Linked DNA regions of Cricetulus griseus. The protein of the gene in region 6 binds, or shares a complex with, the protein of the main gene of each other region. Links are inferred from orthologs where the notes say so. Each region holds a gene or a part of one and is shown on either strand. Other genes may lie near its edges. The genes, in order: Vamp7, Bnip1, Stx5, Stx7, Vti1b, Stx18 and Stx4.

Region 1 (4,030 bases), on a different chromosome or scaffold from region 6:
TGGAGACCAGGCTGGCCTCGAACTCACAGAGATCCGCCTGCCTCTGCCTCCAGAGTGCTGGGATTAAAGGCATGCACCACCAACCCGGCCTGGGATCTGTCTTTTAAAGGGGTCCTTTGCAGACTAGTACTCATGGACTCTGGGCTGACCAGAGTACTGCCTGAGTGCATTCTGCCAGGTGACAGGAGCAGACCAGCATAATGCCTGAATCCTTTCACTGTGTAAATGAGAATCATCAAGATATGAATGCCAGCAATGCAATGGGGATAGCTGATATAACCAAGAAGTGTGAAGGTTAAGAAAACAAAGTGCAGGCCAGAGGTCTAAGCAACATGTAAACTCCGAAAGTAAATGAGCTGGCATAGAGGTGGGAAGCAAACCTGTGACGGTAGTATCTTTTGAAGACTAGATTTTAGGAAACAAAGGTTTTAAAAGAGATAAAATTCAGAATATGTATTTTGCAGAGTTGAATTATAGCAATGGCTGAAAAGTACTTTTTAGCAACATTGAGAACTTTGTATTAAATGGAGAGTTTGGAGAACCACACTCAAGTGTGTGGTGAGGAGGCTGGAAGTATGGGATTGAAAAGGGTGACTTTCGAATGTTTTTCAAAAGAGAAAACTCCAGGGTCTCTAAGTGAAGGTAACAAAGAGACAGGAAACTGGGAGCTTGTACGGGTAGCTGCGGAGGTGGAGGTGGTAATGAGAAAGAAGTGTTCATCAAAGAAGTAAAAGGATATAGTAGTATAGCAGATTCAAACCACAGGAAAGTAGCTGCTGCTGATTACTGTTGTTGTTGCTGCTGCTGCTGCTGTTATTTTTGCGGCCAAAGCATGGGGAAAATGATTGGTGAGTAACACAAGGAAGTTAATTTTTTTTTTCATAACGAAGGGACAAGGGGTTCCTGTCAGAGAAATTCTGTTTTGTCTATGAACAGGCGACATCATCCCTGATAATCAGCTGGGAAATGGCGGGGGAAGCTCAGCTCCTCATTTATCCTGCTGATTATACCGGTAGACTACTTGTGTTGGCTTGCATTCTCTGGTTTTCTGGTATTAAATGGTACAGCATTAGATTTTGTTTTAGGAGCTGTTGACCGGACTAAGGAAGACGTGGTGACATTATAGTCGGAACTACTACTCCCAGAGTGCAGTATGGGCCCTGGGAAGTGCGGAGGGTAGGGAACGTCTGGGATCCCGCCCTCTAGCCCACTCCCATTGGAGGAGAGCTCACGTTCCCAGGAGGCCACATATAGGCGGGGCGCTTTGCACGGAAGCTTGGGTGTCAAGTCCCATCCTTCTCTGGTTTCCGGCAGTGGGCGACACTGGGAAGACCTGCGCACCTTGGCCCGAGCGGGAGTGCCCGCTAGAGGGTACCTTGACAGGTAAAGGGAGTGGGGCATTTTGCGGGAGGTGAGGAGACAATTCGGAGAGAGAGCGGAAGTGTAAACTGGAAGGTGCCAGGGTGGAGTAAAAGGCAGGGCAAGTGTGACTTGAATTTTTATTTTGTCTACAGTTCTAATTGTTGAGCAGGTTCAGTTTTGGCAAAGCATGTTTTACTCAGCTAAAGAGGTCTCGGTTAGTGTCAGAACGCTTCGTTTAAGTTGTAATTACAGGGTAGGAAATATTATTTTTCTCTCATTCGCGTTCTGCAGACTTTTCTATAGCCAAAAAGCTCTTTCACCCATGTTCACCGACATCACTTTCTGTTTCTTGTTCTCCTTCTGTTCATGCTTATTGTAAATTCCTATCCTCCACACACCCTTAGCAGTATTGACATTCCTTTCTCAGTTCTAGTAGGCAGTAGATCTCCACTCAAGCCTATTGTTTGAGCGTGTTACTGTTATTTTTATTGATGGCCAATATTTACCAAATTGATCATATACTTTACTCTTTGGTTAATATGGCTCTGACTCTCATAGCAAATGAATTATCAAGTCTTTTTCTTGGGATTTTATTAATCGCACTTTATGACATGCATCACCATTCTCTTTAAAAAATTCTTTCCCTTTGAATAGCTATGGCTGGAAGCAATATATTTAATATATAGTTATTAAAGAATGAACACACACTAGATACTCCTTTAAGTGCATGAGATACATTGATAGTAAAAAGACATAGGAGGTGACTAATCCAGAAACTTACATGTTTGGGGGACAGGGATGAGAGGAATAATACATCAGTATGGTGGTTTATGTTTGTTAATGCAAAATTTTAAAGGTAGTTTGCTTGACAGAATAAAATCCTGTCCTGAAAAAGTGAGAGGGATTGAGTTGGACTTCAGATCATTTTTGAGAAACAATGCTTGTAATAGCAACAAGAGTAATCTTGATCTGTAACCTGACTCTTCATCAACACCCCTTCTTTTTAATTGTCTTCCTTGATAGTGTTCTTCCTTTGCTACCCGTTCCAAGGTTATCCAACAAATTGTAATAAACCACAAATCGTGGTTTATCTGCCATTGATTTATTTCTTGCTAATGTCTCAGAATAAACAATTGGTGATTGGATTATTATCAATCAACTGTCTTACCTGAATTAGGGAGAGAGTTTGGTAGTAAAAAAAAATACTCTTCTTGCCAGTTTCTATAGAATATAAAGTTATCTCTAGGTATAATATTATAAGTGTACCCAGTGTTCACTTAACTGTTTGATAAATATTCTGTGCTAGGTATTGTGCTGAGAATTGGGAAGATAGGGTAAAACAAACAATCTGACTTATCTTTTAAGGAGAAATGTTAACAGTATACTGAGGAAAATTATGATACATACATAGTCATTCTTTTATTCAAGATTAGCATCACATAATTGCATAATCTTATTTTGAACAGTTTAAACAATTGTAGTCATTCCTAGTTTATTCATTCTCTACACCTTATTGTATTTATTTATGTCTGTCTCCCTTTATATTATGATTCCCTTAAGCTGATTATGTCTTGGGTTTTTAATCTTCCCCTTAATTATTGGTTATGTCTTGGGTTTATCACTGACCCTATTCTTTTATACACAGTGTATCTTTTATAAATTATATTTTAAATGTCAAATCCACATGAGCTCATCTTTGATAAAGGATATAGAATCAATTCCTTGGGGAATTTACTATTTAGTGATGAGTTAGGGGAGGAAAAGTCATCAAGAAGAAAGCTAGAGAAGCCAAATACATAGGAAAGTTTCAAGAATGAGAATCAGTTAGCATGTTGATGGCTCTTGAAATTAAGTAAGGTGATAATAGAAAAATGATCATTATTTTATATCATAGAGGGAGACTGTTAGTGATTTTAGGAAGCATTATATTTTGCATTTTTAAGGGCAAAAGCCAGCATATAGTAAATTAAGGAGTTAAAAGGAGACAGAGAAGCAAAGATAATATATAGACAAAAGTCTAAGAAATAGAATTATAACTGCAGAGTGGTGATACATGGTCAAGGGAGTCTTTTAGATAAAGAGAGATAAAAATATGAGACACTGGTTTGGAAATTATAATTATACATATTTGTTCAGAGGCTTCTGGAACGCAGACTACTGAAGACATAACTCTAGGGAACAAATTTATTTAGGCAGTAAGAATGAAGACAAGATACTACTAGAAGTTCAGCTTAAATGATAGATGAATGCCTTTTTGCTCTATGTACTGTCCTTCAGTGCTGATATTCTAATCAGGGCTCAGCAAATTCCCTGAACCCAACCACTTAATAGTTTTCTACTTCATCTAATCAAATATGGTTATATGAAATATTTTCTTATAGGCTCATCTAGGCCAGATTATTTAAATATAGTTTTCAGAATTTGAGCTCGGTCTTAAAAATTTGATTTTAAGTGATTGTGTCAAGTGACACATTCTGCTACCCAACATGATTTAAAGTCTCATCATAGTACTTAAACTGGTGTCTGTTACAAGGTGAATACTTAATATGGGTTGTTGTTATTATTATAATTGTGAGTCTAGAGTCTAGTTTCTCTTAAACTGTTCTCTAAGATAAATTTTCAGGATGAGATTGTTTCATTAAACTGTAATGTCATCTTTATGTCACTT
Region 2 (3,500 bases), on a different chromosome or scaffold from region 6:
TGAGATTTTGGTGACATTGCAGTTGTGTGCTAGTCTTTGATTATAAAGCAGTATGTGCCATTTCTTAGTCTCTAAACCAGGGAATATAACTTTTTTTCTGGCAACATGAATCACTGTTTCTCCCTTCAGGTTGTACTTTTGTCCTATAGTCCAAAAGGGTCATTACAAACACACCTTTCCCAGCCTCATGATGTTCAAGGCCATTTCAGTAGTATCTGCTATGTCAGAATTCCCATACATTTTCCTTGTCACAACTGTTTGTGGTTTCATTTCTGAGTTGAGTTATTCTCCAGCTGCAGGCTTACTAACAGCAGCTGTGTGAATAACACTCAGCTGTTAAGAGTGACTGACAAAGACATGGGAGTGAGTAGTGCAAGTGTGCCTGGCTCATTGGCCATGGCTTTTTGTGCCACCAGAGGTTCTCAGATTGTAAGCATGAACTCACAGGGAGTTTGTGTGTGTGTGTGGTGTGGTAAATTGCACCAAACACTGTCAGTTTAGTGTGGGCTTAAAACAAAACATTTTTCCTGTTTTCCTATTCCTGGTGTGGTTTTAAAGGTCTGAGGAAAGAAAACAGGAAATTCATGTTGAAGCAGCAGATATGTTTATCAGGTTACCAGGTTTGCCAAGCTGTATAGTATTTGCTTACTTTCCTCCCTAATAAATGTGAGCTCCTTGAAGACCAGGAGCTCAGCTCTGCAACCCTGAGCCTTGCAGAACACTGTTGTGTACAGTTTGAAGATGTTAACTGTTTGAAATGGCAGGTGTGGAATGGGCTGGGAGGTGCTGTTCAGCATCTGAGAGCCCAGCTGAAGAGTGCCTTTAATCCTAGCACTTGGGAAACAGAGGCAGGAGGATCTCTGAGTTCAAGGCCAAGCCTGGTCTACACAGTGGAGTTCCAGGACAGCCAGGGCTACACAGAGAAGCCCTGTCTTAAGAAAGAAAAGAAAAAGAAAAAAAAAAAGGTGGAAGGAGAAAGTCAGCTCCACAAAATTGTCCTCTGACCTCCACACATGTGTTGCGGAATGCTCCCCCACCCCAATCATAGACACATACTTTTTTTTTTTTTAATTTAAAGAAATTTACCCTATTAGTTAAGCACTCTGTTCTAGTATTTTGTGTGTCTGGAGCTTAGCTCAGTTGATTTGAGCTGCTGTGTGAGAGTTCCAAAGCATGGATTTGATTGTCAGAGGGATATGGTTGGCTTTTCTTGTTTGTCAGTGAAAAATGGATTGCTGATCTCGTGTTGCTTATACTTGAGACATCATTTACAAAGGAGCAGGTGAAGAATGTGAATAAATCACACCAGTCAGGGTGCCCTGTGATATTTGTAGTGTCTGTGACTGGTGTCAAATAGACAAAAATAGCAAGCCTTGGAGGAATGTTGAGGAATGTTGGCTTTTGGGATTTTAACCACTCTAACAGCCACTGCAAGAGGTATAAGTGATGGTTCCAGTACTAGGTATGGAGGAGGAATGCTAGGTCATGGTTCTCAAAGACACTTGTCAGGCAATAAAGCCATTGTGGGTCTGTGTCTAGTAGAGTGCCATTTCCCTGGTCTCCCAACTGCCTAGCAGAAGAGGGATAGTGACAGACCATTCTGGAAACATTTTCCAGAGGTTCAAAGGAGAGATATTAGAACCTATGCTAAAGTAGTTACCAGGGCTACCAAGAAGAGGAAGTGGAGAGGGATGAGGTTGAACTCTGAGTCATACCTGGGAGAGTGGACTGGTTAGGCCAAGCAACCTGGTGGTGACACCAGAACCTCATGTGTGACCCTTCTTCTTCCAGCAACCAGACCTCATGGCGGAAAGCCAATCTTACCTGCAAAATTGCCATTGACAACCTGGAAAAAGCAGAACTTATGCAGGGAGGAGACCTCTTAAGGCAAAGGTATCTTCCTTTTGTCCCTTTGGGCTCTGATAACACATCTAAGCGCCATGTGAGGTGGCCTTTTGTTTTCATAACATTTGTACTTTATGTTAATGCATAAGTATTTTTTTTTTCTTTTTTTGCGACTGGGTGTCATACATCCCCATCTGGTTCAAACTTGCTGTGTAGCTGAGGATAGCCTTGAACTTCAGATCTCACAGGTGTGCATCTCCACACCAAGTTTATGCGGTTCTGGAGACCTACCCAAGGGCTTCGTGCATACTAGGCAAGCACTCTATCAACCAATCATCCCCAACCCAGACTAAATTTGACTAAAATTGGTTTTTGATTTTGGGATTTTGTTTGCTCGATTTTTTTTTGTTGTTGTTGTTTTTGTTTTGTTTTTTGTAGTAGTAGGAGTTGAATCTGGGGTCTCATGCATGAAGGGCAAATGCTCCACCACTGAGCTAACTCCCAGTCCTCCCTGACAATTTTTAAGACTCTTCTTTTAACTGTGCATGCATAATATCTATGTTATTAACCAGTCCTGTTGGTGTGTTGGCATTTCTGCCTTTTCAGTATCGTATGCTGCATCAATGCAGGTTTTCATCCAGTTCCTTCAATAAGTTCTCTGGGAGTGAATGAACATTTCTAATCTCTTTGTACTTAGTGCAAATTGGTTTACAGACAGCAGCATGGTTTCCATTCCTCCCAGCAGGGCTTGAGAACGTGGGCTCAGCATACATCCTTAGCCACACTGATGGTTTAGGAATGTGCAAGCTGGCAGTAATAGCCCATGCCTTTAATCCCAGCATTTGGGAGGCAGAGGCAGGTGGATCCTTGTGAGCAAGTCCAGCCTGGTCTACAGGGCCAGTTCCAGGACATCCAGGGCTACATAGTGAGACCCTATCTTGAAAAAAAAAAGAAGAAGAAGAAGAAGAAGAAAGGAATATATGCTAGCTGGCTATGTGGTACATACCTGTAATCCTAGCACTCACTGGTGGGGGGTGGACTGAGACGAGGACATTCTGCCCTCTTGGCCAGGCTGAGCTACATTGTGAGACCCCCATCTCAAAGCACAAACAGAAAGAGCACTGATGTGATAGGTTAAGATGGTGCTTTTTACAAGCTAGGATTTGTAGTTATTGCTCCTTCCTCTGAACTTTCAGGAAAACTACCAAAGAGAGTTTGGCACAGACATCTAGCACCATCACAGAGAGCCTCATGGGGATCAGCAGGATGATGTCACAGCAGGTGCAGCAGAGTGAAGAGGCTATGCAGACTCTAGGTAAGGAGAGAAGCTGCTCCAGAGCGCACACCCAAACTGTGCCTCAGGACATGGCAAGGCAGTTTGGTCCTTTGGGGGGGGGGGGACAGGATGGTGGGTAGATGCTGCTCTTTGTCTCCTCCAGCTATGCAGCTGTGCTGACATGCCTCCTGCCATCAGTGCTCCCCTGAGGAAGCATTGCTAGGCTCATGTGAAAAGCAGGAATGGCAGTCTCTCTGGAGATGGGGTCTGTCATCGATGCTTGCAAGGGGTTCAGGAGTCTGGTTTTTAAGCATTGGCTTGTGGGCTTAGTATTGCCAGACAGGTTTGGGAATTAGGACCACTGACAAGACCATTACTG
Region 3 (4,060 bases), on a different chromosome or scaffold from region 6:
ATAGACCAGGGCTGTCTCTCTACTGTAACCTAATTTCCCTGAGGGATGCTCTACCCTGTATAGCCTTATTGCTGAGGGTGAGGGACTCCAGAACACAACTGCACTGGTTTCTAGGTCAAAGTAGTGGTGTCCAGAGAAATTATTTTTCTGCCAATCTCTTTCCTTGTCCCTGATTCCTGAGTTTCTTTCTCACTCATCAGGATGAGCCCCAAGAACCTCAAGAGCCCAACATGGTACCCCCAGAAGACACAGAGACAGATGAACTTTGGGCATCTTTGGAGGCAAATGCCAAGCGGAAGCTCCCTGATTTAAATCAGATACAAGGGACTCTCCAAACAAGAAAAAAAAAGAAGCGGCCTGGATCCTCCAGTCCTTGAAGACTTTTGCTATTTTGTTAATAAACAGCCCAACACACACAGAGACCCTGAACCTTTTGTGATGGGAGAAAGGAGAGGTGGCTTGTGGGTGGGAGGGGTTCCCTCACCCGGGCTGTGGGAGACCTGACGTCACAAAAGCTGGGTCCAGAGCTAAGCAGGCTGGGGAGGGTGGCAGAGTCCTGCGCCTCTCGGGGCCATGGGCTGCTGTCAAGACAAGGACCATCAGACCTCTGATGAGCATGCAAGGGAGGAAGTGACCGACGAAGGTAGGCAAGGTAGGCCCAGATTCAAAAAAGGGTCAGGGAGCTGGATTGGGAATGGGAGTGGGAGGTGCCCAGAATGGACGGCCTAAAGAGACTGGACTAGAGAGGAGAACTGAACTAAGTGGCCTCGTGGCCCTTGCAGACAACGAAGTCAATTTGGACAACGCAGGCCGCCGCAAACAAAGATCTAACGAAAGTCTTCTGATCACCGTGCTGTGGCGCAGGCTATCCATGTTCAGCCGTCGGGGGTCCTCACGGTCAAGCAAGAGGCTCTCAGACCTGACTCAAAAGCAGGAGAGTCAGATCCAGGAGCGCAAACGTGAGGGAAGCCACAAGGAACCAGAAAAGGGCTGACTCCAATCCTGCTCTCGTCCTCCCCAACATCCAGAGAATAAAATTAATATTGTGGATCTGCCGAAAACATGCCTCTGCCTCCACATCTGTAGGCGCCGAGGCGCTGGCTCTTTAAGACTCCTCTGGCCCAGCCCTCTGGGATCTGTTTCTGCTCTTCAGGGGCGGGGCCACAGCGGCAGTTTAACCAATAGGAGAGCGGAGTCGAGCATGCAAGGGCAGAGGTGTGTTCTTCCTGTCTCTGGGCTTAAAAAAATAGGCGTGGCGCGGCATCACGTCACGGGGGTGGGGTTACGTGTGGGTGACGTGGCGGCTCCTGCTCTTTGCTCCGATTTGGGTGGCTTACAAGTCCAGCGAGGAGGCGGCGACGGCCTGGAGAGAGTGGCAGTGGCGGCGGCGGTAGGCAACAGAGGAGGTAGGGCTTCGTTGGGGTAGGGGGCCAGTTTCTGTCGGTCGTCTCAGCTCGGGGGCAGCGGCTTGACGGTGGGGGAGGGGGGAGAAGGGAGCCATGGGCAAGCCCTGCTGGCGGCTCCGCGTAAGCGAATACCTTGCTGTCCAATCAGGAAAGGCCTTGTTGAGAAAGACGCCGGCCCTGTCCAATCAGTGGCTGCAGTCTTCCAACAGGCGGAACTTTGATGGAGGTGGGACTTCCTGTTTCAAATAAACACTTAAAGAGGTTTTCCCCCCCTCCGCCCACCGAAGTGTGTCCACCTTTGGAGGTCGGTTGCCGTTTTTCCGTGAGGGAGTTAAGGAAGTCACGTATACCAGAGGGCACGATTAAGATCTGGGCCAACTGCAAAGGTCTGGCTGGAGGCTCAGGGCCGCAGGACCAGGCTTTGGCTGTTTTCTCGACTTTAGGGCCCCAGCCGGTGCTTTGGCCGTCAGAGCCAAGTTGGAAGGAGATTCTGAGGAGGCTTCGCCTTGGGCCTGGAGGAAGCTGACCCTTCTCGCCGTGGCCGGGCTGCAAGATCTACGGGTGGCCTTGGGCTCGAAAGCCTGTCAAATACGGGAAAGGGCCTGAGGATTTGCTAGTTGAGGGGAAAGCTTTGGGGAACGAGGCTGTCTGGAGAATGACATTCTCCTCTCCACAGCAGTCCGAGGTTATGCGACTCGATGATCCCGCGGAAACGCTACGGATCTAAGAACACAGATCAGGGTGTCTACCTGGGTCTCTCAAAGACACAGGTTCTGTCCCCTGCAACTGCTGTCAGTAGCAGCAGCGACATCACTCCTTTGCCCACCCCGGTGGCCCTGGTCCCTTCCCCTCCCGACACCATGTCCTGCCGGGATCGGACCCAGGAGTTCCTGTCTGCCTGTAAGTCGCTGCAGAGCCGTCAGGTAAGGACCTGGAGTGGAAAGGCAGGTGTGAGCCTAATTAATGCTTACGTTTTGTCTGCTAGTTGTCTAAATTTACTTTACAACAAAGATTAGCGAATCTTACCAATAGGAGTGGAGGAATTGTCTTCAGCAGGGATTAAGAAAAGATTAAATACCACGAACGATGAGTCAAGATTTAAACCTACATATAATTTTTTTTTCTTAGCTATAAACCACTGATAAATTTAGATTGTCTGATGCCAACAGCACTGGAGTGTTTAGTGGATATGTGAGGGAGCAGTGAAAAGCTGAGCATGAATAGTGAAGAGAACTAAAGTATCCACTTTTTGACATTACCTTTCAGAATGGAATCCAAACAAATAAACCAGCTCTACGGGCTGCCAGACAACGCAGTGAATTTACCCTTATGGCCAAGTGAGTTAAGAGAGTCTTTGGGGGGGGGTGGTAATACAATGTCTAGGAAGTTAATTTGCCTGTGTTGGTTAGGCTGAATGGGATTGGTTGTGTTGGAGCTTATGGGAATTAGCCTCTTTCCTGCCCTTTACCACAGCCTTCTCACTGATGATCATTTGCAGGCGCATTGGAAAAGATCTCAGCAATACATTTGCCAAGCTGGAGAAGCTAACAATCTGTGAGTGTTTGGTAGATCTTTCCTAGATGGGACAGTGAAACATAGTACTAGGAAGTGAGGATCGTGCAGTTTTTGTTTTATTTTCTCCTATGGTGCTGGGGATTTTAAACTAGGACTTTGTGCATTAAAGCAAGTGCCTCTACCACTGAACTGTATTCTTAGCCCTTTGAGCCTTGTTATTACCATCACCTGTTGTAACACTTCATCTGTCTCTGCAGTGGCAAAGCGCAAGTCCCTCTTTGATGATAAAGCAGTAGAAATTGAGGAGCTAACATACATCATCAAACAGGTGAGCTGCTAGCCATCAGGAGAGCCCAGCATTCTAATTAGATTACTTCCATCATTTTCCATCGCCATGAATCCCCAGGGTAAGTATCTAGACCCATGTCCAAACACCCTGCTCCTCCACTGAGTCCATAGACACTTAGGATCATCTAGCATTTGTAAAGTACTGTTCTGTATGCTGATGGAACAAATGAGAAGCAAGATTATTGTCTTTAAGGGTTCATTCTTCTTAAGAGTTACCCAGCATCAGGAGCCTAGGCTTAAAATGAGTAAGTGATAGTATAGAAAAGATTTTACAAAAAGATGAATGAAATAGTATGCTGGGAAAGATTGACAGAGGATATGAAATCTGAACTGGATTCGGAGGTTATATAGAGGAAATAGAAGGACTTACCAGTCTGAGGAGTTTATTTACAGAGGTGTTGATTAGAAAAGGGGGAAGGTCAGCTGAGAGTAGTGATGAACACCTTTAATCCCAGCACTCTGGAGGCAAAGGCAGGCAGATCTCTGAGTTCTAGGCCAGCCTGGTCCACAGAGTGAGCTCCAGGACAGCCAGAGTTGTAAGTTTATTCTCTATAATTACCTTACGTTTGTTTGATTTCATTCCCTGTATCCTTTCTACTTTTCTAAAAGAGAAGGAAAAAACAAAGGGGCAGGGCAAAAGATTTGCAGATACCTCAGGAGCAGGTTCTTTGTTTTGGTTTCAAGACTCTAGATATATAGCCCAGTCTGGTATTTTTGTTTAAGTCAGGGTTTCTCTGTATATCCCTGGCTGTTCTGGAACTTGCTGTATAGACTAGGTTAGTCTTGAACTT
Region 4 (4,073 bases), on a different chromosome or scaffold from region 6:
GAATTTCCTCCGTATCATGAAAAACATATAATGTCACTATATTGGGCTAATATTTCTAATAGTTCACAGTGGGGACTACGGGTATAGCTCTGTGGTGGATCATGTTTCCAAAATTTGAGGCCTTGGGTTTGGTTTCTAGCACCTGAAAACAAAACCTCAAACAACCTGGGCAAATGACACAGGCCTCTAGTTCCAGCTGCTCAGAAGGACAAGGCAGGGTTGAAAGTCCAAGGCCTGACTGTGCTATAGAGTGAGATCAAGATTAGTTTGGGCAGCCTATGAAGATCCTGTTTCACAAACAAAAGGCTGGGGATACAGGACACAGTTAAGGCCTTTGTTTTCCGTGTGCAGGGTCCTTGGTTCAATCTTCAGTACCTGACAAAATAAAGCAAACTCAAAAGTTCACAGTGGCTCTAGCTGAATCACATTGCTTTCACTGGGTGTTTGTCCTTTGACCAGGGTACTCACTTCACTGTGTGGATCCTGCTTGGAAGACGAGCGCATCAGTCTGACCTAAATCATCTATGTATGCTTGCATGTGTAAAACCAACCAACGTACTTTTCTCTGTGGTTCTGGTTCGAAGTATTCTGGATTCCCTTCAACTCTCTCTCTCTCTCTCTCTCTCTCTCTCTCTCTCTCTCTCTCTCTCTCTCTCTTGTGTACTTTGGTATCACATGTTTTCATGCTCTTTTCAGAAAATAACACCGTCTTAATTTTGCAAAGAATGTCTTTCACCCGAGCCACTGATGCTCATTGTTGGAACATTCTGTGCTCTTAAAGCCTGGGAAAACTGCTTCCTGTATTTCGAGGATGCGAGGACGATCGTGAGCTAAGAAAACATCTTTACCAAGTGAGCACCCAGAGGCGATTCTTCATTTGTTCTTTCGTGGATTCAGCCAGAATTGCCTTGACCTTGTGTGTGTGTGTGTGTGTGTGTGTGTGTGTGTGTGTGTGTGTGTGTGTGTGTGTGTGTGTGTGTGTGTGTCATTTTAAAATGAGGTTGTTAATAAAGTCGACTGCAGAGTTGAGGGTTAGGAAACAGGACTGGCAGGAGCTGATGGGGTATGAGTCCAGGGAGCATGGCGCCACCGAGTGAAGAAGACAGCTCTCCTGTATCCCTTCTTCTCTTGCACGTAGACATTCACCATCAGTGTGTCAGGCTTCAAGGCATTGCTCCGTAGCAATTTTGCTAGTCCCTTCAAGCTTTAGCTGTTATTGGCCAATGGGAGAGAAGCGAACCCCGCCTCCTTCTTCCCTGGGCTGTACCCCGAGCATGCGCAGTGGGCGGGCTTGCACCACCGCCCATCAGCTGAAGCTAGCTGCGGAGGGCTGTGGGCCCCTGGGTGACAGCGGCTGCAGGAGAAGGAGAAGGAGAAGGAGAAGGAAGCCGATGGGGTTAGGGTAAGAGGAGGCTGCAGAGCCGGGGGGTCCGGGAGGGGCGCCCCAGAAGCTCAGCCCGCGGTGGCTGTGTTTGGGAGCCGGCAGAGTCGGGCTCCCCGGGGGCGCGGGGCCGGCGAGAAGAGGCGCCCACGCCCCGCCGCGGACTCGGGGACGCGACGAGCTTGCACTCCCGGGCGGGTGCGCGGCAGGGAACCCCGGCTGCCTGTCAGCCTTGGGCGCCGATCCCATCGCCAGCTCCTCATTCTCTGTCAACTTCCCTTCCAGAACAGAAAAGTCAGAGCCCTGGGCCCTGGTCATCTGGCCACAGGTTATTTCTGCGGCCCCTTGAGTTTGCTGTGCTGCTGGCGGTGACTTCCACAAGCTAACTTTCTTTGACCTTAATTGTGCATGGCTTTAACTGATTTACCCCCAAGACCCTTAACAAAAGTATTTCAAGAATTCGCATCTGTGTTTTTTAGGTTAAGTTCAGAACAACAACAACAACAACAAAGCTTGGGTAAGGGTGGAGAGGGAGATAGCCTCCTAGTCAAATGCTAATTTTCCCTTCAGATTTTGTAATATGCTTGGATTTTATATACCTCTCTCTGTCTCGGATTTTATCTCTCTCTCTCTCTCACACACACACACACACACTTCAGATCTTGTATTCTGGCAATAATTGTCATTTATAGGTGGTCCACAATCAGGAAAAAAGAAAAAAAAAAAAAGGAAGTAACCGCGAAACACTGTTCGATTTGGTCCTGTTGGATATAGGCTTTTTTTTTTTTTTTTTTTTTTTTTTTTTTTTTTATGTGCACTCTGAGCTGCACTGGGCAGAGACTGATAAAACTGTTAAATTGTGTCTTGTCATGTGAAAGCCTTTGGCTTTGCCGCTTCCGAAGTTGGCCCCAGGCTTGTGACTAGTTAAGAATTAGACTGTAGTTTCCCAGTGTCTGGGGAAGTTAATGTGACACTGTATTAACTCGTCTGCGTCGTTTTTCCTTCAGGTAGTTTACTTCTTATATTCTTCCTGATTAGCAGTCATTTCTAATTTTGATTATGAGCCCAAGTTCGTCCAAGTGCTGCTGGTTGGAAATTATTAACGATCACGATTATTAGCTATACATAGTTCAGTGGTGGAGTGCTTGCTTAGTGTGCACGAGACCCTGGTTCAGTTCTCAGCATTGCAAAATATTATTGCTGTGTCTACTATTATTATTAGACGGAACACCTACAGTTAAGTCTGAGTGGATTTTGCTGTGGTTCAGTGTAACTTGAAATACTAATGGGTAAAACCATGGTGGGAAATCCTTGGTAAAGTAAGTTAAATCCAAATAGTGTAACATAATAGTTTAACTGATGAAGGAGCTGGGCTGAAGTGTGCTTTGGTAGCTTGTGGAACGGATGGAAGGTGGAGGCCCTCACTTCCATTGATTATGTCCGATGATTGTTCCCTCTCTTGTTTGTGTTAGGGACTGAAAATAAGCATTGTGGATCTTTGGGTCTTTTAAGTACTATAAATGGTTTGAAGCAGAAGGTACATTGACAGAGAGCAATAGCAGTGACTTCTCATTTCACCTCTGGCGTTTCTAGCATGTGATAACAGCTTGCTGAGAAAAGGAGCTGGTGCTCACGTGAGCACCGTGGGGGGGGGCCTTCTAGAGATAGGAAAATGGCACCCAGAAAAGCCAAAGCAGCAATACACCTGTCATTTAGTGTTTTAGAAATGTTAATATTTTCTCTCAGGCTGGGTATGTGTTCTTAGGAAATTGGTAAACCTGTTCATTCCCACTACAAACATTGATTCCTGACCTATTTTGTAGCCATGTACTAGAGAATAGAACAGGTCCACAATTTACACTCCACCTAGTACAGCACTAGACACACAAATAAAAACCGTGGGAGACAAGGGAGAAGGAAGTCCAGTGTATTACCATGGTGTGCACGATTAAGAAAGTGAAACTGACCATTTGTTTTGAGCAGGCTGAATTTCACACCAGTTTATACTTAGTGGAAGTCTTAAGGATTCAGCAGTATCTCCAGGGCAGTAGTTTACATTCAATATTCTGTAGCAAAAATTTCTCTGTTCATTTCTTTTTTGTTCTTTAGACACAGTCTTAAGACAGATCTCATTGTGGGCGTTGCACTTTGATCTCCGGTCTCCTCTTTCACCTTATAGTGCTTATATATCTTCATAAAAAGATAATTACTAAGATGTTGAGTTGAACGCTGTCCAGTAGAACTTTCTGGGGCGATAGAAATGAATATGTGAGCTGTCCAAGCTGCTGGCCACTGGCCGCATATAATTTCTGAGCACTTGAAAGGTGACTTGGGTGGCTGCCATGTAACTTAATTCACTTTAATAGTCCATGTCAATGGTAGCTACTCTACCGGCAGCGCAGGTACAGGTGATGAGTTATATAATTATTTTTTGCAAAGGCACTAGGAATTCCAAATGGGTTTATAAAAAGAATACTTTAGTGTCTCGCAGTTCAAGCTAGGTACTGGGGATGGTTACAGAGCACAAACATTGTATAAACATAGAATTAATTAGCTTAGTTGTAAAAGTCATAAACTTTTAAGTCATTTATCGATAACTATGTACTTGTATGTTTTTTTAATAGCAAAGATAGCATTGTCCCTCTTATTTGTATTTTATCAGAAGGGCCAACTCTTGTCTTTTGAATGTCGT
Region 5 (2,812 bases), on a different chromosome or scaffold from region 6:
GCTTTTTGTTTAATATAAGAATGTGGCAATGTCTCTGCCAAGAAAGAATGCTTTATATGGTCCCTAAGCCCTTAGTACCAGCCAAGCCCATCTTCAGCGAACTAATCATTTCCAGAGTTGTAGAGGCTAGTTTACTTGTGGCACTATTGAAGTTAAAGGGTAGCCAGGCATAATGACATGAACTTGGAGGTCGAGCTGAGAGGGTCATGAGTTTGAGGCCAGCTTGAATTACAGTAAGACTGTCTCAAAATATATACATATATATATTTAAGCAAATAGTTTTAAAGTTGCAGGCTGTTTGCATTATCAGGTGATTTTTGTATCCTGTTGCCCAGTTTGGGTGCTGACTGAAGTTGCTAGTAACGAACCAGTCCATGTTTATGATAGATTTCAACTTGTCCACAGGGAAAATGCTCCAGTGGTATTTCATTTGTTTTTTAAATCTCTTCTGTGTCACAGAAGTATAACAGGCAGTGGGATGTGCCTCTGTAGTCTGTGACCTTGAACAGGATCTTATAATTCATTAGTATCTTTGATTCTATTTTAAAAGCACAGCTGACCAGCTCTTTGTGCCTGCTGCAGCTGGATATTGAGCCTTGGATTAAATTAAAAATATTGATTCTACCAGCCTGGTCTACATAGTGAGTTCCAGGTCAGCCAGGACTGCACAGTGAGACCCTGTCTCAAAAAAATTCTAGTTGAGCGCGCCAGTGCCGTTTTCTAGCATCCATGGCACCCTGGTACACACATACAGATCTTTGAAAACTCTCTTATATGCCGGACATCTGACTTTTATCTGGCCATGATTCTCTTGAGCCAAAAATAACTTTACATAGCATTTACCTTTTATTAGGCATAATTAATCTAAAGATGATTTAATGTATTGGGAGGATGTCTATGTTAATATGCAAATACTATACTATTTTACATATGGGACTTCAAAAAGATTGGCCTAGAACCAGTATCTTGCAGGTATAAAGGAAAAACCATAATGAAATGATTGCTCACTATATTGCTTTTGCACAAGAAGGTGGTCATAAAGAATATATTGACAATAAATTTATAATGGAATAAACAAGTTTCACATGTCCCTTCCCTACTCCTGTCAGAATCGGCTACAGTCTCAAAGAGCATTGCTCCTACAAGGCACGGAAAGCCTGAACCGGGCCACCCAAAGCATTGAGCGTTCTCATCGGATTGCCACAGAAACTGACCAGATTGGTACAGAAATCATAGAAGAGTTGGGGGAGCAGCGAGACCAGTTGGAACGTACCAAGAATAGAGTAAGTCTGGGCAATGTGTGAAGTATGTGGGTCCTCCATATAAAGGCCAGATACTACAGGAGGCCTGAATTTTGGGAATACCCCGCCTAATACTATACTTAATTTTTAAATTGCTTGGCTAAGAAATCCCCCCTTATAATTTCCCATGGGCCATAGAGATGGGTCATGCAATAAAAGCAGCTCATATATCTGTAGCCCCAGAGTTGGGGGATAAGTATTAGAAACTGTTGGATCAGCCAGTGTGACTAAGTTTAATTGAAAGAGCCTTTCTTAGTAAGGTGGAGAGCAACCAAGGAAGGCGCCTCCATTCCCACAGATGTGCACATACCACACACACACAAAATGTGCATATGTGTATATATATTTGTAACTGGGTCTCGTTTAAGCCTGGCTGCTGGTCTGGAATTCACTGATCTTCCTACCTCCTAGGATTAAAGTTGTGTGCCTCTATGCTAGACCATAAAAGAAATTTTGTCCGTGAGATTTAGAAATCGTTAGTTTTATTTCTGAAGAATCTGATTTGTGCCACTCCCCCTCTCTTGCTTTATTCATTACAGGGTCATCAACATATTGTAATTTCAGATGTAGTGGCATATTTTTCTATTCTTAAAAAATGTGTATAGGTATTTTGCCTGTATATATGTCTCTGTACCACATAGGCCTGGTGCCTAAGGAGGCAAGAAGAGGACATCAGATTCCCTGGAACTGGAGTTAGATGGTTTTGAGCTGCCATGCAGGTCCTGTCAATCAAACTGGGGTCCTCTGAATAAGCAGAAGTGCTCTTAACCATTGAACCACCTCTCCAGCCCTTTTTTTTTTTTTTTTTTCTATTCTTAGGAAAATACTATCTACTTACAAGACAGTTATTAAACGGAAAGGTTTTCCCATATGTCAGAAATAGTACTACTGATAGTTTATTGGCTTATAAATTATATTTCAATCCCATTAGCCTAAGGTAAGTTGGTCTATTGAGGGAAGAAAGCAAAAATATGTGGGTTAACTGATGACCATATTAGGGTTCTCTGCTCTACTATGATTGTAAGAGGATTTGAGAAATTCCTTTTTCCTTTAAGTAAATGTGTTTGTTTACAACAAATTTAAAGAATAAAAAATGGTTTGCCTGTTGAATGTTACATTAATATTTGTCCTAAGGCAAATCTTAACTGAAAACTTTGTAGCCAGGATTTGGATAGGAAAAGTACTAGCTCATTGGCAGGATTTGAAGAAATTCTTGTACATCTTATTAAAGCGATTCCCCCATTTTGTTATTTTGTGCAAATTCACAATAAATTGCTAATCCCAATGTAAGCTATGAAGGCAAATTGCTAACAGATTGTCTAAGTTTTGGGTCTTGAGTATACTTTGTAGATTGGTTGAACTTAACACACCAAAGATTGATCTGAGATACAGCAAGGAACATCATTGAAATTTCCTTCTGCTAACTAGATTAGTAACAGGTAATCAAATGAGAAAGGCACATTGGGACTAATCCTTTCTCCATTAAGTGTAACCACTCAAGCAAGGATTAA
Region 6 (3,500 bases):
CATTCCCAGCAAGTGAAGGAACACAGGACCGCGGTTTTGGATTTCGTTGAAGATTACTTAAAAAGTATTTCATTTTCTTCTAAAGGTCAAATGTGGCATTTCATAAGAGATGCAATTTAGAATAGAGCTTTGCTAGCTGAAGACCATAGTGTCTCATTAGTGTTAATGATACCTTTGCCTGAGAAGCCATTTTAAATGCTCTCTGTTCTGGTATTTTCTGCTTCAACAGGAGTATGTAAGCTTTACTCTGAACAAAGAGCCATCCGAGTTAAGCGTGTGGTGGATAAGAAGAGACTGTGAGTATTTCTACCTTTGCTCTTCCTTCCTCAGTTAAAACAGGGGCAACAAGAATGGCAGCCTGAGCTCCTCACGCCCTGACACTGTGGGCCTCTGTGCATGAAGTCTTCACCAAATGCTGTCATAGCAGCTGAAGACATACTATGTACCAAGTGTGCTGGTCACTCGGTTAGCCACAGCAGCCCATGAGGCAGGTTCTCTCATTTCCAGATAAACACTGTGGTTCAGCAGGTTTTAAGCTCATGTGACCCCACAGTCTCGTGGCAGCTGAACTGGTATTGAGCACTTACGTAATTTCTTTTTATTTTTTTTTTTTTTGTTGGGAGTAGCAGGGAGTCAATCTGGCTATGTAGTACATGCTGGCTTCAAAGTCATTATGCAGCCCAAACTGGTCTTGAACCCATATTTTTTTCTGCTTCAGTATTCAGAGTGAGGTGGTTATAGATGTGTGTCACCTACCCAACTTCTCACCCCATTTCTTAATAATCCTGTAAGGTGGGACACTTAGAGCTATTGACCTTGGTCTTTGTCCTCCCCCCATACCTCCTTCTCTGAAAGAGTTTTTCTGAAAAGGGGTTTTCGTGGTGATGAATGCTCCCCTGTGTCACTGACAATATGACATAATATATTCAAGATGTCATGTGCACTGACTCCTACCCCACTCCAATACCCATTTAAGCATGATGGCTGCAGTTTGTCCAGGGAGGATCCAGGGGAGCAGGTCCGACTCTGGTGTTGTAACTTTAGCTTATCAGTATGGTAAGGAGAGCAGTCACTGGCTCTCACAGCCCCCCTTCCCCCCAGAGGAGAAGCAGCTGTGTCTGCTGTGCTATCACACTAAGAGACACACAGCCTTGGTTCTAAGCAGAAGTTTCCACTGATGTCAGTCAAATGGGAATTGTATGGAATCAATCACCTGCCAAATAGCTGTTCTCCACAATTACCCTAAACAGGAGACCTTGGAGACCTCAGAATAACTGTAACTCTTCACAGTGTGACCCAGACCTCTCTTCTTAGGCTTGTATTTCTCAGGCAGGCCTTGAGTTCTGATCATACTGCCTCTGCCTCCCAGATGGTGGGATTGTGGAACTGCAGGCATGTGTTACCACCCTGACTTCTTTCTAGTCTTTCTTCACCTTTATATACAATACATGTTTATTATGTATAGTTTCATACATAATCTTATGCCTGCCTCCCTTATGCACAGGTATCACAAAGGCTAAATATGTCAAATTCAAAACTATAGTGACTATATTATAGCTTTTGTTTCTAAATCAATCACCAGTGACATCTGCTCTGCCTGCCTCTGTGTGACTTTGTTCTAAAGGAGCTTTGCCTTTCTTGTCCCCAGTTCTTGTTGAATTCTCCATCCATAGAACCTTTCACATAGCCTGCTCTGTTCATCTGGTGGACAAAATCCATACTCATCCTTCCAGCCCAACTGAAACACCACCTGTCCTGTGAAGTGTTCCAGCTGCTGCCAACAGTGTTGTGTCCCCCTTCTTAGTAGGCTCCTCATGTGTTGTTCATGGCCAGGTGCAACACACACACTCATGCAGTCACTATTGACTTATGTCTCCTCACACACCTCAGCCCATCACACAATGCCTGTCCTTTGGGGATGCCAGTGGGTAGAGTGTGCAATTGTCATTGGTGGGCTGTTTCTGTTTGGGTTGCTGATGGCTGTAGTTAAGAAGTTTTTATGAGTCTAGCTGCTCATGTTCTGTGGCATTGTTGTCACTATCACCTTTATCTGGTGAAGGAAAACACACTTGTTAAAGTGCAGCTTGCTCACTGTAATTGCTCACTGTAATATCTTAAAAGTGTGGATGGTATTATGTAGTTGCTTTTGTTCTTGTAGAGTGATGTCACATCTATCTACCATACCAAAGGGCTCTTATTTCAAACTGCTGAAAATATTTTGCTCATTATGCCAGAAGTATTCCCAGCTGACTGCTCTACACTTTCCTACAGTGACTATGTTGTCTGTAAATGATGGTGCATTATTAAAAATACCTATTTTCATGTACCCTGATGGCATTTTGCTTTGTGAGCTGACAGTAGTGGTACCTGCCGCATGTTGCCTCAAGCCAGAGAGGGATAACTACCCTGGGCATCACATCTCTCTGCTCTTTTTCCTATAAGTTTGGAGGTAGAGACCAGCATCTTCTGACTTTCTGATCAGTGCATTGATCAAAGCCTGCTATAAAGTAGTTGGTTCCTGACTGAAGGAGACTTCAAATGGGGCATGGTCACTTACTCTTGCTCATAGAGTTGCAGAGTAAAAGCTTACAAACTAGAAATACGTGGGACAATATTGGATGAAGCATTGGCACAAGTGGCTCTATCACACATCCCCAGAGGATATGAAATCCACCTCTTTTCCTCTTGGTCTCCTTAGATCTCTGGTATTTGGGGGTGATTAAAGCTGAAATGGCCATCACACACTCTGGTGAAATAAATCATCTGGGCTAATCAGAAACATGTTCTCTCCAGAAAAGCAGTTTGTGTGTCATTGACCTTTTTTTTTCTTTCTCCGTCCAGAAGAGGCTTTAGGTAGCCCTCTGAGAATCAAGACTAGCCTGAGACTTGTCTGCTAGGGCAGAAGTACCTTCCATACTGTGCAGTGAGTGTTGGCTTTTGTTTGTGCTTTCCAGCTGACTTAGCTCTGAGATTTGCAGGATTCAGGCCATTATTTGAACCCTTCACTTTTCTGGGGTTCTTATGAGTGGAAACTTTTGGGGGCATTCTCTGTCTGAGGGAGATCTGAGAAGAATGAAAACTGATGGCTAAAGATTATAGCAGGCTACAAAACAAGGTCAAAAGGCATCACTCCACAGAAGCTGCCGAGTTCATCAGTGTATCTTAAAGTTGTGTTACTAGCATGTCCCCCACCACAGATCCTGCAGTTGAAAGTCTTTCTGAAGGTATTCAGAATTCTTGGTGGTCCTAGTAAAGCTTACTCTGACAATGTAGTCTATTGTTGGACTGAAGAAACACTTTGTGTCCAGAGATCTGTTTGCATGGGCTGTGTGTCATGAAGACAACTTCCTAAAAGGAGCATCAAGCCCTTCTTCTGCCCAGGTCAACACACACCAAAAACCACTGCTGTGATCCACAGCTATACAGCCCCCTCACATTCTTTGTTAAGTGTTCTCTGCCATCAGTACAAAGGAGGAAATTCATGCTGCTTTTCTTTTAGA
Region 7 (3,959 bases), on a different chromosome or scaffold from region 6:
GCTTCTGATGTGTCACCAGCCCCTAAAACATATCTGCTCTATAGTATGTGCCCAATAAATATGTCCAGAGAGACAAACCTGGGGAAATGGGACGGTGAGAGAAGCCACAGGCTTTAGTTTCAGATACATGAAAGGCTCCTATTCGGATCAAGGCTGTGAGGGCCTATTATGTAGCAAGCTCTGAATTTGGTGCTGGGGACTCCGTAAAAGAAAAGCAAGTCATGCTAGGACTTCAGGGCTGCGGAGGTAACAATACATTCCTCTCAGTCTGAGCTGCTCTGAAATCTGAAGGTGGCGAGCTCAGCGGGACTGCAGTGCTCACACAGGGCGTAGGCCGCCCACCTGTCAGAGGCTGTGCCAGGAGGACGCAGGGTGTGTAGGGGGAAGAGTTCCACCTTGGCTGAGGTCACTTCCCACCCCCAGATTGTCTGCCTACAAAACCCTGCAATCCTCTGACGCTGTAGCCTCCGATCTCATTATGTTCTGACTCTCAAGGTCTCGTGATACTGACAGCCCCCAAATTTAAGTCTTCAGATCGCCCACGCCCTAGGGCCCCAAATTAAAACAGAAAGTGAAGTCTACAAGGGTCTCCTCTGTAGGTGGCTGAGAGCTGTCGGTGTACCCCTCCCCACCTTCTGCAAGGGGTACAGCTCAGACTCAGGGGTATCGGGGACGTCGCGAGACTGAAGTCCGAGACGTCGCTGACAGCGCCGGGACACGTGACCGGCTGTCGGGCGTGCAGCCGGCGGAGCGGGGCCAGGTCTGTCACGTGATGAGGGGGCGCCATGGGGTGATGTGAGATACGAGGCTCTCAGACTGCGTGCAAATGACGCATCCCCAACCCTTTGGGCAACTAGATTCCAGTCCCAATATGAGATGTTCCGGTAGAAAGGGGGGGGGGGCGGACGGGCTCTCGATCCAGGCGGCCTCGCTTCCGTTCGGCCGCGACTGCTTCCGACCTCCGCCTTTTCCCCCTAGCGAGGAAGAGACAAGACCTCGTGCGCATGCTCCGAGTCATCCTCCCGAGGGGCGGGGCTGCGGCTGCGGGAGCAGGATGGGGGGAAGAGAAGGGAATTCCAACCTGTAGAACTTTGGGGGTCCTATGGTCGGGTTCTCCCCGGCGACTGTGCATGGTGAAAGGGGCGGGACCTCTGGGGGCTCGTGGGGGCGTTGGGGGTTCGCAGGGTGAGGAAGGGGGTGTCAAGTGAGAGAGAGCTCGTGCAGGACTTCCAAACTTAGAACCTTGAGGCCCTCGGGGCTCAGGTCCAGGGACCGGGCGCTCGGGCCGCCATGCGCGACAGGACCCATGAGCTGAGGCAGGTGAGGAGCTGGGGCCCGGCGGGCGCGCAGGACTGAGGACTCCTGGTTTGGGGTCCGGGAGGGGTGGCTGACGGCCAGGAAGGAAAATCCCGGAAGCCCATAGCTCCTGCGGGGCGAGAACCGCGGCGAGCGAGTGGTGCCAATGACTCCGGCCCTGGCAGGGGGACAACAGCTCGGACGACGAAGATGAGGCTCGAGTCGCGCTGGTGGTGCACCCAGGTACCGCCCGGCTGGGCAGCCCAGATGACGAGTTCTTCCAGAAGGTAAGGCCCGGAGGACCGAGCAGTAGGGAGGACTACAGTACCACTTATGTCTTCAGTTCCCTTGGTGATCCTCTCTAGGTCCAGGCAATTCGGCAAACTATGGCCAAACTGGAGAGTAAAGTCCGGGAGTTGGAGAAACAGCAGGTCACCATTCTGGCCACGCCCCTTCCCGAGGAGAGTAAGCGAAACCCGGGTTCACGTACGCCAGCCCGGTGGATTATGGGGGATGTAGTCCTATATAGATGTTGGCCGGGGGTGGGGTTGGTTTTGGTTTGTGGTGGAGGCTGTGGTTTGGAAGTGTTGGCCTTCTCTCATTTAGGCATGAAGCAGGGCCTGCAGAACCTGCGCGAGGAGATCAAACAGCTGGGGAGAGAGGTCCGGGCACAGCTAAAAGGTGAATGAACTTCAAGGGCCTCAGCCAGATCATCCCCAGTGATTCAGCCCTGATGCTCGTGTATCTGGGGAGTCAAGTGATATATCAGGTCACAGAGCAGGTCTGGGTCTAGGATCTCTGCCCTGTGGCATCTAAGCCTTGGTACTTTGCATATATTACATGCTGGCCTCTCAGATTCCTTTATTACTATTTTTACATCTAAATTCAAAACTACTTGCTGCTACAGTTCTTGAAGCCCAGTGTGTGTTCTTTGAGCAGATGGATGAGGGTTTCTTAGGAGGCTCCTTCACTCTTGTGGGAACCCACTGATGTAATACAAAGAAAAACTTCTCTTAGAAGATCAGAATTAGCCTCCTCCTCCCCCTCCCTCACCTCTTCCTCCTATGTAGACCAGGCTGGCCTCAAATTCACAGAGATCCATCTTTCCCTGCCTTTTGAATGCTGAGATTAAAGGCCTGCCGTAACCAGGTCCAGTTGGCTGATCTCACCCCCTTCTTCCTTCTTTCTTCTTCCTCCTAGTTCCTTCTTTTTTCCTCCTCCTCCCCCTTCCTCCTCCATCATGTGTCACTACTAAAATATATCCCTGCTCATAAGTCACTTTGTAAAAAAAAATCCTACGAAGACAAGAACTTCCTTATTATGTGGCTGGAATGTAGATGTGGCCCTGTATTCTGGTACCCAAACAATTTTTTTTGATTCATTTAAAATTTTTTATTATGTATTTTCAATTTTTTAATTATTTTTTGAGACTCAGTAGGTAGATCAGGCTAGCCCAGACAGAAATCAGTTAGCCTCCCAGCCAATTTTTAGAAGTCTCAGGGCAAGCTTTTCTTTCCATCAACCCTCGTATTTCTCCCACAGCCATAGAGCCTCAGAAGGAAGAAGCTGATGAGAATTATAACTCAGTCAACACAAGAATGAAAAAAACCCAGGTTGGTTTCATTTTCCTAGAACTAGGACATTTCATCAAGTGTTTCTTAGATTACTAACTGGTGACTGGGCAACCCTTACAGACCGTTGAATCTGGGATCTCTGTCCTGATGAATTTCCTTTATGCTTATTTGGTCTAGGTAGAGGATCCCAGTCACAAAATTCTCAATCCATTATAACACCATGCCACCGCCATTCAAAGAGAATTTGCTATGTCAGACATGACTCTGTCCTGGCTATGAGAGACATATTTTCCCAAAACTGAAATGGGGAATTTGGACTGAAAAGGGAACAAAGATATTTCTCATGTAGGACTTGGTCACTAATAGCTTTGTTCAGGGAAGAAGAGAGAGAAATAAAAAATGGTAATTAAGAGCACTGGTTGCTCTTCCAGAGGCCCCAGATTTAATTTCCAGCACCCACATGGCAGCTCACAACCATCTGTAACTCCAGTTCCAGGGGATCTAACACTCTCACATAGACATACATGTAGGTAAAACACCAATGCACATAAATCAAAGAATAATAATAAGAGCCAAGTGTGAAGGCAGAGGCAGGCGGATCTCTGAGTTCGAGGCCAGCCTGATCTACAGAGAAACCCTGTCTTGAATAACCAAAAATAAATAAATAAATGATAAATAAATGTAAGTTAAAATGACAAGCAAGGACATCCTTGGCCCCATAGATAGAATTTAAGAGATGGCGAGGGGCTGCAAGACGGATCAGTGGGTAAAGGTGTCTGCTTCTAAGCTTTATAACCCAATTCAGCCCCAGGTCCATGGGGTGCAGAGAACTGACTCCTGGGAGTTGTCCTCTGATTTCTACACATGTGCCATGGCACACATGCCCTGCCCCGTGCATACACAGTAAAGACATATATTAACGTATGATGTAGGGACTGGAGAGATGGCTTAGCACACACCACTTTTGCAGAGGAACTGAATTCAGCTGTTCCCAGCTGTGACCTATGTCAGGTGGCTCACAACCATCTGTAACTCCAGCTCTAGGAAGAGGCCCTCCACCTCCTTGGATACCACAGATGAAGGCACATA

What was found.
Region 1: Stx18 (region 6) and Vamp7 share a complex: the UniProt entries of both Homo sapiens proteins name them as parts of the SNARE complex. The link is inferred for Cricetulus griseus from reciprocal best matches to the Homo sapiens genes STX18 and VAMP7.
Region 2: Stx18 (region 6) and Bnip1 share a complex: the UniProt entries of both Homo sapiens proteins name them as parts of the SNARE complex. The link is inferred for Cricetulus griseus from reciprocal best matches to the Homo sapiens genes STX18 and BNIP1.
Region 3: Stx18 (region 6) and Stx5 share a complex: the UniProt entries of both Homo sapiens proteins name them as parts of the SNARE complex. The link is inferred for Cricetulus griseus from reciprocal best matches to the Homo sapiens genes STX18 and STX5.
Region 4: Stx18 (region 6) and Stx7 share a complex: the UniProt entries of both Homo sapiens proteins name them as parts of the SNARE complex. The link is inferred for Cricetulus griseus from reciprocal best matches to the Homo sapiens genes STX18 and STX7.
Region 5: Stx18 (region 6) and Vti1b share a complex: the UniProt entries of both Homo sapiens proteins name them as parts of the SNARE complex. The link is inferred for Cricetulus griseus from reciprocal best matches to the Homo sapiens genes STX18 and VTI1B.
Region 7: Stx18 (region 6) and Stx4 share a complex: the UniProt entries of both Homo sapiens proteins name them as parts of the SNARE complex. The link is inferred for Cricetulus griseus from reciprocal best matches to the Homo sapiens genes STX18 and STX4.

The regions. Positions count from the first base shown.
Region 1 is NC_048604.1:56,004-60,033, reverse strand, and holds the start of Vamp7 (vesicle-associated membrane protein 7), read left to right. Parts: upstream 1-1,230; 5' UTR 1,231-1,383; intron 1,384-4,030. UniProt on the Homo sapiens protein: Involved in the targeting and/or fusion of transport vesicles to their target membrane during transport of proteins from the early endosome to the lysosome. Required for heterotypic fusion of late endosomes with lysosomes and homotypic lysosomal fusion.
Region 2 is NC_048600.1:47,012,878-47,016,377, reverse strand, and holds part of Bnip1 (vesicle transport protein SEC20), read left to right. Parts: intron 1-1,791; coding exon 1,792-1,893; intron 1,894-3,041; coding exon 3,042-3,160; intron 3,161-3,500. UniProt on the Homo sapiens protein: As part of a SNARE complex may be involved in endoplasmic reticulum membranes fusion and be required for the maintenance of endoplasmic reticulum organization. Also plays a role in apoptosis.
Region 3 is NC_048596.1:51,355,579-51,359,638, reverse strand, and holds the start of Stx5 (syntaxin-5), read left to right. Parts: upstream 1-1,260; 5' UTR 1,261-1,406; intron 1,407-1,573; exon of another isoform or gene 1,574-2,082; 5' UTR 2,083-2,104; coding exon 2,105-2,329; intron 2,330-2,672; coding exon 2,673-2,743; intron 2,744-2,904; coding exon 2,905-2,960; intron 2,961-3,178; coding exon 3,179-3,249; intron 3,250-4,060. Other genes in the region: Wdr74 (WD repeat-containing protein 74), read left to right, coding at 201-377; testis-expressed protein 54-like, read left to right, coding at 574-652, 783-994. UniProt on the Homo sapiens protein: Mediates endoplasmic reticulum to Golgi transport.
Region 4 is NC_048595.1:243,359,580-243,363,652, forward strand, and holds the start of Stx7 (syntaxin-7), read left to right. Parts: upstream 1-1,273; 5' UTR 1,274-1,402; intron 1,403-4,073. UniProt on the Homo sapiens protein: May be involved in protein trafficking from the plasma membrane to the early endosome (EE) as well as in homotypic fusion of endocytic organelles. Mediates the endocytic trafficking from early endosomes to late endosomes and lysosomes.
Region 5 is NC_048598.1:124,471,015-124,473,826, forward strand, and holds part of Vti1b (vesicle transport through interaction with t-SNAREs homolog 1B), read left to right. Parts: intron 1-1,109; coding exon 1,110-1,283; intron 1,284-2,812. UniProt on the Homo sapiens protein: V-SNARE that mediates vesicle transport pathways through interactions with t-SNAREs on the target membrane. These interactions are proposed to mediate aspects of the specificity of vesicle trafficking and to promote fusion of the lipid bilayers.
Region 6 is NW_023276807.1:107,058,155-107,061,654, forward strand, and holds part of Stx18 (syntaxin-18), read left to right. Parts: coding exon 1-64; intron 65-229; coding exon 230-296; intron 297-3,500. UniProt on the Homo sapiens protein: Syntaxin that may be involved in targeting and fusion of Golgi-derived retrograde transport vesicles with the ER.
Region 7 is NC_048596.1:72,932,671-72,936,629, reverse strand, and holds the start of Stx4 (syntaxin-4), read left to right. Parts: upstream 1-1,159; 5' UTR 1,160-1,290; coding exon 1,291-1,320; intron 1,321-1,481; coding exon 1,482-1,583; intron 1,584-1,639; exon of another isoform or gene 1,640-1,661; coding exon 1,662-1,761; intron 1,762-1,902; coding exon 1,903-1,977; intron 1,978-2,838; coding exon 2,839-2,909; intron 2,910-3,959. UniProt on the Homo sapiens protein: Plasma membrane t-SNARE that mediates docking of transport vesicles. Necessary for the translocation of SLC2A4 from intracellular vesicles to the plasma membrane.